Linked DNA regions of Macaca mulatta. The protein of the gene in region 3 purifies or fractionates together with the protein of the main gene of each other region. This does not show direct contact. Links are inferred from orthologs where the notes say so. Each region holds a gene or a part of one and is shown on either strand. Other genes may lie near its edges.

The links. Proteins that work in one complex are often made in the same cells at the same time.
Region 1: the proteins of HNRNPH1 (region 3) and HNRNPM purify together in Homo sapiens (affinity purification with mass spectrometry; 3 studies listed by BioGRID and IntAct, with this or other methods). This does not show direct contact. The link is inferred for Macaca mulatta from reciprocal best matches to the Homo sapiens genes HNRNPH1 and HNRNPM.
Region 2: the proteins of HNRNPH1 (region 3) and HNRNPUL1 fractionate together in Homo sapiens (co-fractionation; 3 studies listed by BioGRID and IntAct, with this or other methods). This does not show direct contact. The link is inferred for Macaca mulatta from reciprocal best matches to the Homo sapiens genes HNRNPH1 and HNRNPUL1.

Annotation. Positions count from the first base shown.
Region 1 is NC_133424.1:9,338,229-9,341,299, forward strand, and holds the end of HNRNPM (heterogeneous nuclear ribonucleoprotein M), read left to right. Parts: intron 1-406; coding exon 407-458; intron 459-2,147; coding exon 2,148-2,311; 3' UTR 2,312-2,571; downstream 2,572-3,071. UniProt on the Homo sapiens protein: Pre-mRNA binding protein in vivo, binds avidly to poly(G) and poly(U) RNA homopolymers in vitro. Involved in splicing.
Region 2 is NC_133424.1:52,414,172-52,417,671, reverse strand, and holds part of HNRNPUL1 (heterogeneous nuclear ribonucleoprotein U-like protein 1), read right to left. Parts: intron 1,391-3,500; coding exon 1,237-1,390; intron 1-1,236.
Region 3 is NC_133411.1:188,582,353-188,586,493, forward strand, and holds the start of HNRNPH1 (heterogeneous nuclear ribonucleoprotein H), read right to left. Parts: upstream 2,801-4,141; 5' UTR 2,399-2,800; intron 1,755-2,398; exon of another isoform or gene 1,359-1,754; intron 1,242-1,358; 5' UTR 1,211-1,241; coding exon 1,114-1,210; intron 1-1,113. UniProt on the Homo sapiens protein: This protein is a component of the heterogeneous nuclear ribonucleoprotein (hnRNP) complexes which provide the substrate for the processing events that pre-mRNAs undergo before becoming functional, translatable mRNAs in the cytoplasm.

The sequences.
Region 1 (3,071 bases), on a different chromosome or scaffold from region 3:
GGAGCAGACTCTGAGCTCAGACTGCAGTTTCTGATTGCTTGGCTTGAAGAGGCACTGTGTCTTGCACAATGATCCAGGGAAAGAAGTGGCTGTAACGGAATTATTTTCCCCAGCTCAGCCACTCTTAGCCACTATTTAGTGACTGTGGGCTGCGCACCACAGGCCCAAGCGTCCCATCCTGCACAGTGCTCCCACAGTCTGAGCCCCAGGGAGGGAGCTGGCTGTGCCACTTCACAGTCTTGTCCCACGTGGACCTATTAGTTCCCTGCTGATCGCCTCAGTCTGAAGAGCAGCCAGCTTCTTGGTATAGTAAGAAATCTAGTGTAGCCCTCAGAGTCAGCTGCAAGGCGTGCCTTAGGATTTGGTTTAATCACACATCAGTCTCCCTTTTTTCCTTCCTCCTTAGCTCCCATTCGATTTCACATGGAAGATGCTGAAGGACAAATTCAACGAGTGTGGTAAGTGTTGGGAACGGCTTTCTAGGTGCCTCCCTCATGCTTACTGGTGATGCAGCCAAGTCAGCAGCAAAGCCTCCCTCCCAGCCCCCTCCATCAGCTCAGGACCCATGGCCTTGCCATTGTTCTGCCCACGCCAGTGCTCAGGCAGGTTGTTGAGTGTCCTGTGATGTGTCGCACGTTTTTCACCTGTGTTCTCATTTCATCCTAATTTCCTTTTTTCTTCCTTTTTGAGGCTTTTGAAACAAGGTAGTAGTGTCCCCATTTCACAGATGAGTCAGTCTTCTCAGGTCACCTGGCTTCTAGGTGGCAACGCTAAATAAAAACATCCCAGACGAGGGAGGTAGCTTTCCCCTTAGCACAGCTGGTTCAGGGCCTCGGAGAGAACACCTAGCCCAGCAGGTGCCATGGGGAGGCGCTGCAGGCTCTGGGCACACAGCAGCTCCTGTGAGGATGAGGCTAAGGTCTCCTGGTTTCCTGGCACATCCTGCTACTCTTCTGGAGGGCTCCCTCTGTGGCTGAAAGCAAGTTGTCTTCCTTCCCTGCCCTCCAGGGTGAGCCTCCACCCCTCATGCACCACCTCTGTTCTTTTTAGCTAGAGGGGCCTGAGCTAGAGGACAGGGCGGCTGCTTCCGCACTGCCCTCCCGCTTCCTGTTTCAGCAGTGGCTCTGATTTCACCACCATTGCTGCTTCTCCATGGTTCTTGGGGCAAGCCGTTGAGTCATGACGTGCCTCTTTGCCCCGTTCTTTACCTCTTTCCCCCGTTCTTTACCTCTTTCCCCACTCCTGAGTTTCCACGTTGTAGCTAGATATTCTGAAAAGGCCAGTGGGATCACAGCATCCCCAACCCCCACTTTTGCAATGCCTGGAGGGGCCCTGTACCTTCAAGAGGAAGTCCAGACTCACAAGCCTCTTGAAGATTTGGTCCCATCCTCCTCCATCTCCCTCCTGTCCCAGAACCTGAGCGGCAAGTGCTGCACGTGTCCCACAGTGCTCTTGTGTGAGGCATTACTGGCAAGTCTTTCTGGTGAATTTCTGTGTAAGAACTTTCCCCTGAGGACCCCTCCACCCTACCTGCCCTGGGCCCTCTCAGGCAGAGTTCCTGCCTCTGGCATTGTGGCCCTAGCACCTTTGGCACTCCTGGAGTAGAGCCTTTGTCCTCTAGGGCTCTGACCTGTTTCCGCAGAGTTGACACATATCTGGATGCTTAACAGGTGCTCAGATGAATAAGTGAAACCGGCTGGCTTTCATTTGGACAGTACAGACGTGTCCATTGGATTGCGGATGGCTTTGTAACCAGGGGCAGTGGCGTATCAGAAATGAACACTTTGTAAAATATATAGCCAACTTTCTGCCTAGAAAGCTGGCTTTACTCGGCGCCCTCTTCTTTGAACTTTGTGAAGCGTCAAGGCGTGCATTGAATCCTCTAGGAAGGCTTTTCATGGGGCAGGGGCAGGCTCTGTTAGCAGAAGAATGGCAGTGTGGCCAAGGGCCTAGTCACTGGTTCCCACCATTGTATTCTGAGCCTTTGTGCTCCAGATATCAGGTTGTCTCTGGTTCTTGGGGGCAAGCCGTTGAGGCGGATTTTTTACTCTGTCCACCAAAATCTAACAATCGGGACTGAATGGAGCCCAGACAGGCTGAGCTCTGGGTTTGCCTGACAAGTGTGGTCTGTTCCCTCCCTGTCCCAGGCCACGTGCTGTACGCCGACATCAAGATGGAGAATGGGAAGTCCAAGGGGTGTGGTGTGGTTAAGTTCGAGTCGCCAGAGGTGGCCGAGAGAGCCTGCCGGATGATGAACGGCATGAAGCTGAGTGGCCGAGAGATTGACGTTCGAATTGATAGAAACGCTTAAGCAGTTGCCTTTTTTAAACATCGATACGAGACCTCTGAATTTGTATTTTTTCTTGTTAACCATTTTAATTTGTTGGCTGGATGTATAAAGATGTTTAAAAAATTCAGTTGCTTTTTGGGGTAATTTGAATTACTTTTTTAATGACTGGGGTTCCATTTGACTGTTTGCATTGAGATTGCAATGTGCGCAATTTTTTTTGTAGTTGTGGCATCTTGTTGACATCGAATATGACTTTGATAATAAATACCGGTTCCTGAAAACAGCCTGCTTGTGTGTGCTGTGTGGGCAACCACCCGAGGTGTGGGGAGCTGGGGTCACTCGAGGTTCCAGTCCAAGGAACAGGGATCTCATCCCCTCTCCTGCTTGTCTGAGGCCCCAGGGGTGAGTGCCTGCCCACAGACTGGGGGAGACTCTTCCCTGGAAACTGCCTTCCTGTGGGCTGTAATCCCTGGGCTGATAATGGAGCATTTGGCTGTTTAGAGCGCCCCGAGGCCAGGCGCAGTGGTTCGTGCCTGTAATCTGGGAGGAGGGCACCTGTAGTCCCAGCTACTCAGGAGGCTGAGGCAGGAGAATTGCTTGAACCCAGGAGGCGGAGGTTGCAGTGAGCGAGATGTCGCCACTGCACTCCAGCCTGGGCAAGAGTGAGACTCTGTCTCAAAAATGAAGAAAAGCCTCCCGAAAGCCATCCTGTCTCCCTGTTATGAGGTTAACACCCTGGGGCACAGACCCTGCCTCAGTCGGGCTTGTTCTCTGGCATTTT
Region 2 (3,500 bases), on a different chromosome or scaffold from region 3:
CAGTGCACTGCATGCACAGATGGGGAGCCCATGCCCATTTGGCTGCTGACTCTCCCAGCAGCAGCCTTCCCTCTGGTGGAGGGCCCCTCTGGCCTCGCCAGGCCAGGGCTAACACAGATGAGTCTCTTTCCTGAAGAGCAGCTCAGAGAAGCAGAATGACTTGCCCAGTGTCCCACTCATGAAGGAGACTCATGAGACTCATCTTATGAGTCTGTGCTCATCATATGTTAAGTCCATTCTACGAAACTTTCCCTGCCAGCCCAGGATCAGAGCGAGTGTTCTTCCTCTGCTCTCCATCAGCAAGTAGCTTCTAGGCCTCTGCTCTGTAGCAAGCAGTGGAAGAACACCATATGAGGTGGGCTCCATGTCCTAACTTAAGTCATAGCCTGGGACATCCAGGCCCTGTCTCAGAGAGTAACAAGCTAGTAAGAAGGTGGACTCTGCCAGATAGGAAACAGAATGTGTCAGATGACTAATCCAGGTGAGTACAGTGGCCATTGCTAGTTTTCATAATTGCAAAAGGCTTCAGATAGGAGCTGAAGGAAGGAAGGAAGGAAGGAAGGAAGGAAGGAAGGAAGGAAGGAAGGAAGGAGGGAAGGAAAGGACTTGGTCTGGAGGGAAAGGAAGGAAGGGCTTGTTAGGGAAGAGAAATGACCAAAGCAGAGGCTGCTGCCTCTTCTGAGCTCCTGAAACTTACCTGCATCCTGACTACTCACCTCAGAGGTTGTGGCTTACTTATGTATGTGTCTGAGTCCCCATACTGGAACAACAGAAGGCAAAACTCACTGCCCATCTTTATGTTGCTAGTGTCCAGCCCAAGAGTGGGCACTTCGTGACAGCACTATGAGAGCTGACTGAACGAGCGGATGAATGGGAAGAGGATGTGTGTTTGGGAGTAGTGTTACGAAACAGATCTTTCTTTCATTACAGATATCAAGCAGCTGACTGCAGGGGCAGTAAGGCAAAGGACAGAAAAGGCAGGCTGGCATCTCACACATGAAAAGTCTAAGATATTTACAAGTTACCCTGCAGGTAAGAAGGGAGGAACTGGGGGAAGGACCAAAAGTTTAGGAAAGTTGAATCTGGTAGTAAGCACAGGAAGGAACAGAAAGAGTGTGAAAGCAGAGGGAATCTCTACTCAGCCCCTCTAGATTAGTGCAAATGTCCCCAGCAAGCACGAGGCTATGGATATAGAGACCTACCAGAGCAAGGGTGACTGCTGCCTCATACACCCACCTCCTATCCTCTCGGTGCTCAAAGTACCCCCGTCCCCGGTTTTCTTCATAAGGCCTCTTTCGACTCTGGAATTGCTGCCTGTCTGGCTTGAGTTGAGAAGCTTCAGGCGGGAGGAAGCTGGTGGGTGCTCCTTGCTTCATCTCTGTCTTCATTTCTATTGTCAGGACAAATTCAGACGGTCAAGACACTTGCAAGCTCCCCAGCTATCACTTTTCTGGTCCCTTTTCCCTTGGGAGATGTGAGCAGGATCCTCACTACAGTGATGAAGGGCTGGGCACAGGCAGCTTGCTGAGTTCAATAGAAGCCTGTTGAGCCAACCAAGGAGGCCGTACTGGAGAACAGGGCTAGGATCTGAGATGCCATGACCCTACATTCTCCAATTTCTCCTCCCGAAGAACCTCAGTTCTTACAAAGCTTCTTCAGTGTAGCAAGGGAGGGGGAGAGGATGAATTCAACAGGGTATTGTGGTCCTGCAGCTAACTCTACGGGCTTTAGTTGCCCTACCCACAGAGGCCAGAATCACTCCGGTTAAGCCATCCTATAGGTGCAATAACCTCTTTAAGTCATACCACTAACAGAAAGTCAGGATGGGATACCGTGCTGTGGACCATGGGTAAGTCCTAGTCTCAGGCAGACTCCAGGAATCAGTGCCGAACCAAGAGCAAACTATAGATGTAGGCTAGCTTAATTTCTCCCACAGCGTTAATCCCTGATGCCGAGGCTCATTCACATCTACTCATTTCTGCATTCAACCCCAGACCATTTTGGATCATTCCCCAGCTTTGGCATGTGGATCACATCACTCGGAAAAGGCTCCTGGTTCTCTAGGGCAGGGATGGTGCTCAGCCATCCTGAAGAGAGCCTCCCTGGTTCCCAGCAATAGGTTGGGCTCACACAGGGCTCCTGATGAATGTCTGTGGATAACGGCACAGAAAATATTCTCCTGGGGCTGAATGATCCTACAAGTCTCACAGAGCCTGACACAAATCTGCAGTTTAACCTACATTCATTAAAGTTCTGAGCCACCCACAAGAAATGTCTGGGGATTTAACTTTGTGGATGAACCAGAATGGCATTAGACAAAATCAACCAGATACACTAAGAAAAGGCACTGGGGGGCCACAACACAGTAAGAGCAGCACAAAACTGGGGGTCAGTCCGGGCTCCATCAGTTCTCAATAGTGGGACCCTGCTTTCCAAATAGTAAGGCACAAATGATAAGGAATGCTGCTTATTTACCAAAAGGACTAGCCTGGGAGCAAGTTTCCTAGGTTCTAGCCCCAGCTCTGCCATCGGACAAGCCAACTCCTCAATCTATAAAATGGGGAGGAGAGGCCAGGCGTGGTGGCTCACACCTGTAATCCCAGCACTCTGGAAGGCCGAGGTGGGCGGATCACGAGGTCAGGAGATCGAGACCATCCTGGCCAACATGGTGAAACCCTATGTCTACTAAAAACACAAAAAAAATTAGCTGGGCGTGGTGGCATGCCTGTAGTCCCAACTACTCGGGAAGCTGAGGCAGGAGAATCACTTGAACTTGGGAGGCGGAGCTTGCAGTGAGCCAAGATCGTGCCACTGCACTCTAGCCTGGGCAACAGAGCAAGACTCTGTCTCAACAAAAAAAAAAAAAAAAAAAAAAAGGAAGGAGAGAGTTGGCAACACGGGGAACTTTGTTCTATAAAAATATATACTTAACATGCTTGGGAAATCCTAAGTTTAAACAATACAACACAAGGTTTTTTGTCTATTTTTCATTAAAAAAAATATTTTCGGCCGGGCGCGGTGGCTCAAGCCTGTAATCCCAGCACTTTGGGAGGCCGAGACGGGCGGATCACGAGGTCAGGAGATCGAGACCATCCTGGCTAACACGGTGAAACCCCGTCTCTACTAAACATACAAAAAACTAGCCGGGCGAGGTGGCGAGCGCCTGTAGTCCCAGCTACTCGGGAGGCTGAGGCAGGAGAATGGCGTAAACCCGGGAGGCGGAGCTTGCAGTGAGCAGAGATCCGGCCACCGCACTCCAGCCTGGGTGACAGAGCGAGACTCCGTCTCAAAAAAAAAAAAAAAAAAAAAAAAAATATTTTCAGCAACACCAGCCCACGACGACACAAGGTTTTTAAATTTAATTAAAAAAAATTTTTTTTTGGAGACAGAGGCTTACTGTTGCCCAGGCTGGAATGCAGTGGTGCCATCACGGCTCATTGGAGCCTCAACTTCCTAGCTCAAGCCATCCTCCCACCTCAGCGTCAAGAGTAGCTGGGACT
Region 3 (4,141 bases):
GCCAAACCCAGCGTTGCCCCCTGCAAGGTGGCTTCCAGTGTACTTGGTTCTTGTTTTACAGGTCGTTTTCCGTTACCAATGCTAAATTCAGATAGTAAGTCAACACTACAAACGTCTTGCCAAAAGCTGTCAATTTCATACAAGTAGAATTTTATCAGTCTAATTTTTCCCAGTCTAATAATGGGAACAAGGACATTCTGATAGAAAATATTCAGGAAACCTAGGGACTGCAAAAACACTTCCCTGGGTTTCAGTGTTTTCAATTGTATAGTCAGCCAAATTAAGAACTAGATGAGCACACACTCTTCAATTACCAAATCTTGATTAGGAAAACTGAAATTAAGACGTGACATTTTAACTTTCCGAAGAATGCTCCTTTTCAAGGAAACACCAGAACTGGAAACAAGAGATTACACTTCAAGATACTGAAAAACATTACTATTATTGGTCTAATTACTCGGCAATTTTCTCGAGATTGAGGAGGAAACCCACCTATGCCAATTCATCTTTTCGCAAAAAGACACCGGAGCCAGGCGCGGTGGCTCACGCCTGTAATCCCAGCATTTTGGGAAACCGAGATGGGCTGATCACTTGAGGTCCAGAGGTTCGAGACCAGCCTGGCCAAAATGGTGAAACCCCGTCTCTACTAAAAAAACAAAAATTAGCCGGGCGTGGTGGTGCGCGCCTCTAGTCCCAGCTCCTCGGGAGACTGAGGCAGGAGACTCGCTTGAACCCAGGAGGCGGGGGCTGCAGTGAGCCGAGATCGCGCCACTGCACTCCAGCCTGGGTGACAGAGACTCCCAACACAAAGGAAAAAGAAAAACGACATCCATAAAAGAAAAGTTGGTGTTCAAAGGTAGTAAAGAAATCAAAGGGTCTGCCAGATCTGCCGCACTCCCCCCGCAGGGCCAGGAGGACGGGCGGGGCTTTCGAAAATTCCATTGCGTAACCGCGGCCGGCCGGGCGCGAGCCACACGGCGGTGAGTGCAGTCGCCCGCGCCTCGCCAGGGGGCGCCCCGGGTCCCGCCGCCCCGCCCCGCCCCAGCCCGGCTGCCCGCCAGCCCGCCCGCCCCGGCCTCGAACTCGAACTCCCGCGTCCTAGTTCTAACTCACCAGAAAAAAACCTCTGCACTTCATCGGCCGAGCAAGACCACGGCAAGCCCCGGACCTTCACCACGAATCCCTCTCCGCCTTCGGTGCCCAACATCATCGTCTCTTACGCGGTCCGGCGTCGAAACAAACTGCAAGGCGGGGAGGACCAGACCTGAGAGCGCCAATTAAGCTGTCCTCCGCCTCCGAGGCGCCCCCGGGCCCGCACCGGCCCCCCCACCAAGCAAAAACCGGGGGGATGCACCCACCCCGGCGGCTCCAATACCCAACACCTCCTCGTCCGGCGGCCGGACCCCCAAAAGCTGTTCTGAGCAGCAACCGTCGGCGCCCCGAACCGTGGGGGCCCGGGCCGAGCCAGCGTGGAGGAAAGGAAATGGCGGCGGCCGCTTCCGCTCCGCCTCCTCCGACTTCTCACACAATAGAGTCGGCGCGGCCTGCAGGCCTCAGCTGCGGTGCCGACATTCAGCGAACCACTCGCGGCTCTCGATGGCAGCCCGCAGCTCGCCAAGGTCCCCGTGGCCCTCCCAGAGGTATGAGGACAACCAATCCTCGCAAAAACGGCGCCCACGGTGGTCGGTGAACTGCAAGCGAGGACCCACCGAGACTCACCCAGAAACCCGACTTCTGCGTGGCTAAGACGAAATGGCCAGCGGGCGCCTGCGCAACCTAAATAAGGCCCTTTGTGCGAGTTCTGCGCACGCGCAGCCAGCTGCCCGCACCGCCCCGTTGCGTCACAAAGAGCTCTGGCGCATGCGTAGTTTCAAGAGCCAGCCCACCGTCCGCCGGCGGATTATTACACGCTTGGGATTTGGGCGCAGCACCCCCACCCATAAACCCGCCGGGCTTTTTATTGCGCATGCGCCTTCCCGCGAATATTGAACTTGGGAGTCTTAGCGGTTTATAATTGTTTCATGCGCATGCGTCTTCCTTGAAACCGTTCTCTAGCCTTACCCGCCAGCGTGGGGGAGGGGAATGGCGGCCGCCTGTTCCCTATGGGACTGTATAGGAGTCCCGAGCTCTGGGTTGAAGAGGTGGGCGTCTTTCTACCCCTTACCCCCTGGCTCTTACCGGTGCGCTCCTGGCCGACCTGAAAGGAGAGGCGCGGCCTTCAGGCGTTCCCACTCCCCGCGCCGCCTGTCTCCCCTTTATCCCCAAACCGGCCGAAGCTGATCAGCCGCAGATGGTCGAGCGTCCTGGGAGCTGCGGGGCTGCGGACGTCCCGCGCCCGAAGCCACCCGGATGGTGCCTGGGGCACGTCCCAGCCATGTGTGCCTCCACTTCCCCTTACCTGCGGTCGTCGGGCCTAGGGCCCCGGTCGGCGCGAGGTTCCCGTGCCTGTGGCTCGCGCCTGTACCCAGCTTTTGCCTAACGAACTCGCACCCTGTGTACCCCTTGACCCGCCTCACGGTCGGTGGGCCTTCCGTGCCCTGGGGCCCTGGCACGAGGAGGAATCGCGAGCGCGGGCTTCTCCACGGGTGCGTGCCGGCCTCTGCCCGGTAGGTTACCGCTGAATCTCCCAGGACAGAATCGGTAACAGTGCGTCCAATCCCCGGGCGTAGACGCCGCATTCGAGGAGACCCCCGGCTCACCCCATGTGCACACATGCTGCCAGATGAGTAATGTTCGTGGTTTCTAACAGCACTGCCCAACACCGAAGATGCCGTAGCCTCCCAGGCCTCCCCAGGTCTGAGCTGGCTGCCCTCCTCACCCCAGCTCTAGTGGACACAGACAATAAACAAATTAACAATAAGGCAGGGTTGGACCTTGCCGCAGGGCTACCTTAGCTAGTGCAGGCCTAAGTGCCACCCTGGGAAGATGCAGACGAAGCATGTTTCCAACCCCAGGGCCACAGAGTCCGAATCCAGTTTTGACAGGTTTGAGAAAAGTAGAGAGGACATCAAAAGAAAGACGGGAGCCCAGAGCTAAGCAGGGCCTGATCTTCAAAAGCCACTTAGGCCTTGGCAAGGATGTTAACTCCGAGAGAAGGCTTTGGCAGGTGATCAGCAGGGGAGCAATAAGCCCTATGCAAAGGAAAACTTGCTGGATGTGAGGGGGATGCAGATGGAGCAGGCAGGGTGAATGACGGTACATGCCATGCCCTCTACTACAAACGGAACTGGAAGCACATATCTGTGGTACCATTTCAGAAAACACTTTGGCTGAGGTAATCAAGAAGAGAGACTCTGGCCAGGTGCGGTGGTTCACGCCTCTAATACCAGCACTTTGGGAGGCCGAGGCAGGCAGGTCACTTGAGGTCAGGAGTTTGAGACCAACTTGGCCAACATGGTGAAACACCATCTCTACTAAAGATACAAAAATTAGCTGGGCATGGTGGCGCACGCCTGTAATCCCAGCTACTCTGGAGGCTGAAGCAGGAGAATCACCTGAACCCAGGAGGCAGAGGAAGCAGTGAGCTGAGATCACACCACTGTCCTCCAGCCTGGGCAACAGAGAAAGACTCCCTCTCAAAAAAAAAAAAAATATTAGCCAGACATGGTGGCATATACATGTAATCCCAACCACTTGGAGAGACTGAGGCAGGAGAATTGCTTAAACCCAGTAGGCAGCGGTTGCAGTCAGCTGAGATCATGCCATTGCACTCCAGCCTGGGCAACAAGAGCGAAACTCCATCTCAAAAAAAAAAAGAATAATAGTGAGGTAGAATAAATTTCATACATTTATAGCCAATGCTCTTATATATAAATTGTCCAACTTATATTAAAACAAGGTTTTTAAATATTTATTTTTTATTTATTATTTATTTATTTTTGAGAAACGGCCTCACTGTCACCCAGGCTGGAGTGCAGTGGTGCAAACATGGCTCACTACAGCCTCTACCTCCTGGGCTCAAACAATCCTCCTGCCTCAACCTCCTGAGTAGGTAGGACCACAGGCATGTGCCACCTTGCTCAGATAACTTTTTTATTTTTCTTTTTGTAGCAATGGGGTCTCATTTTGTTGCCCAAGCTGGTCTTGAATTCCTGGACTCAAGGAGTCATCCCACCTCAGCTGCCCAGAGAAAGTGCTGGGA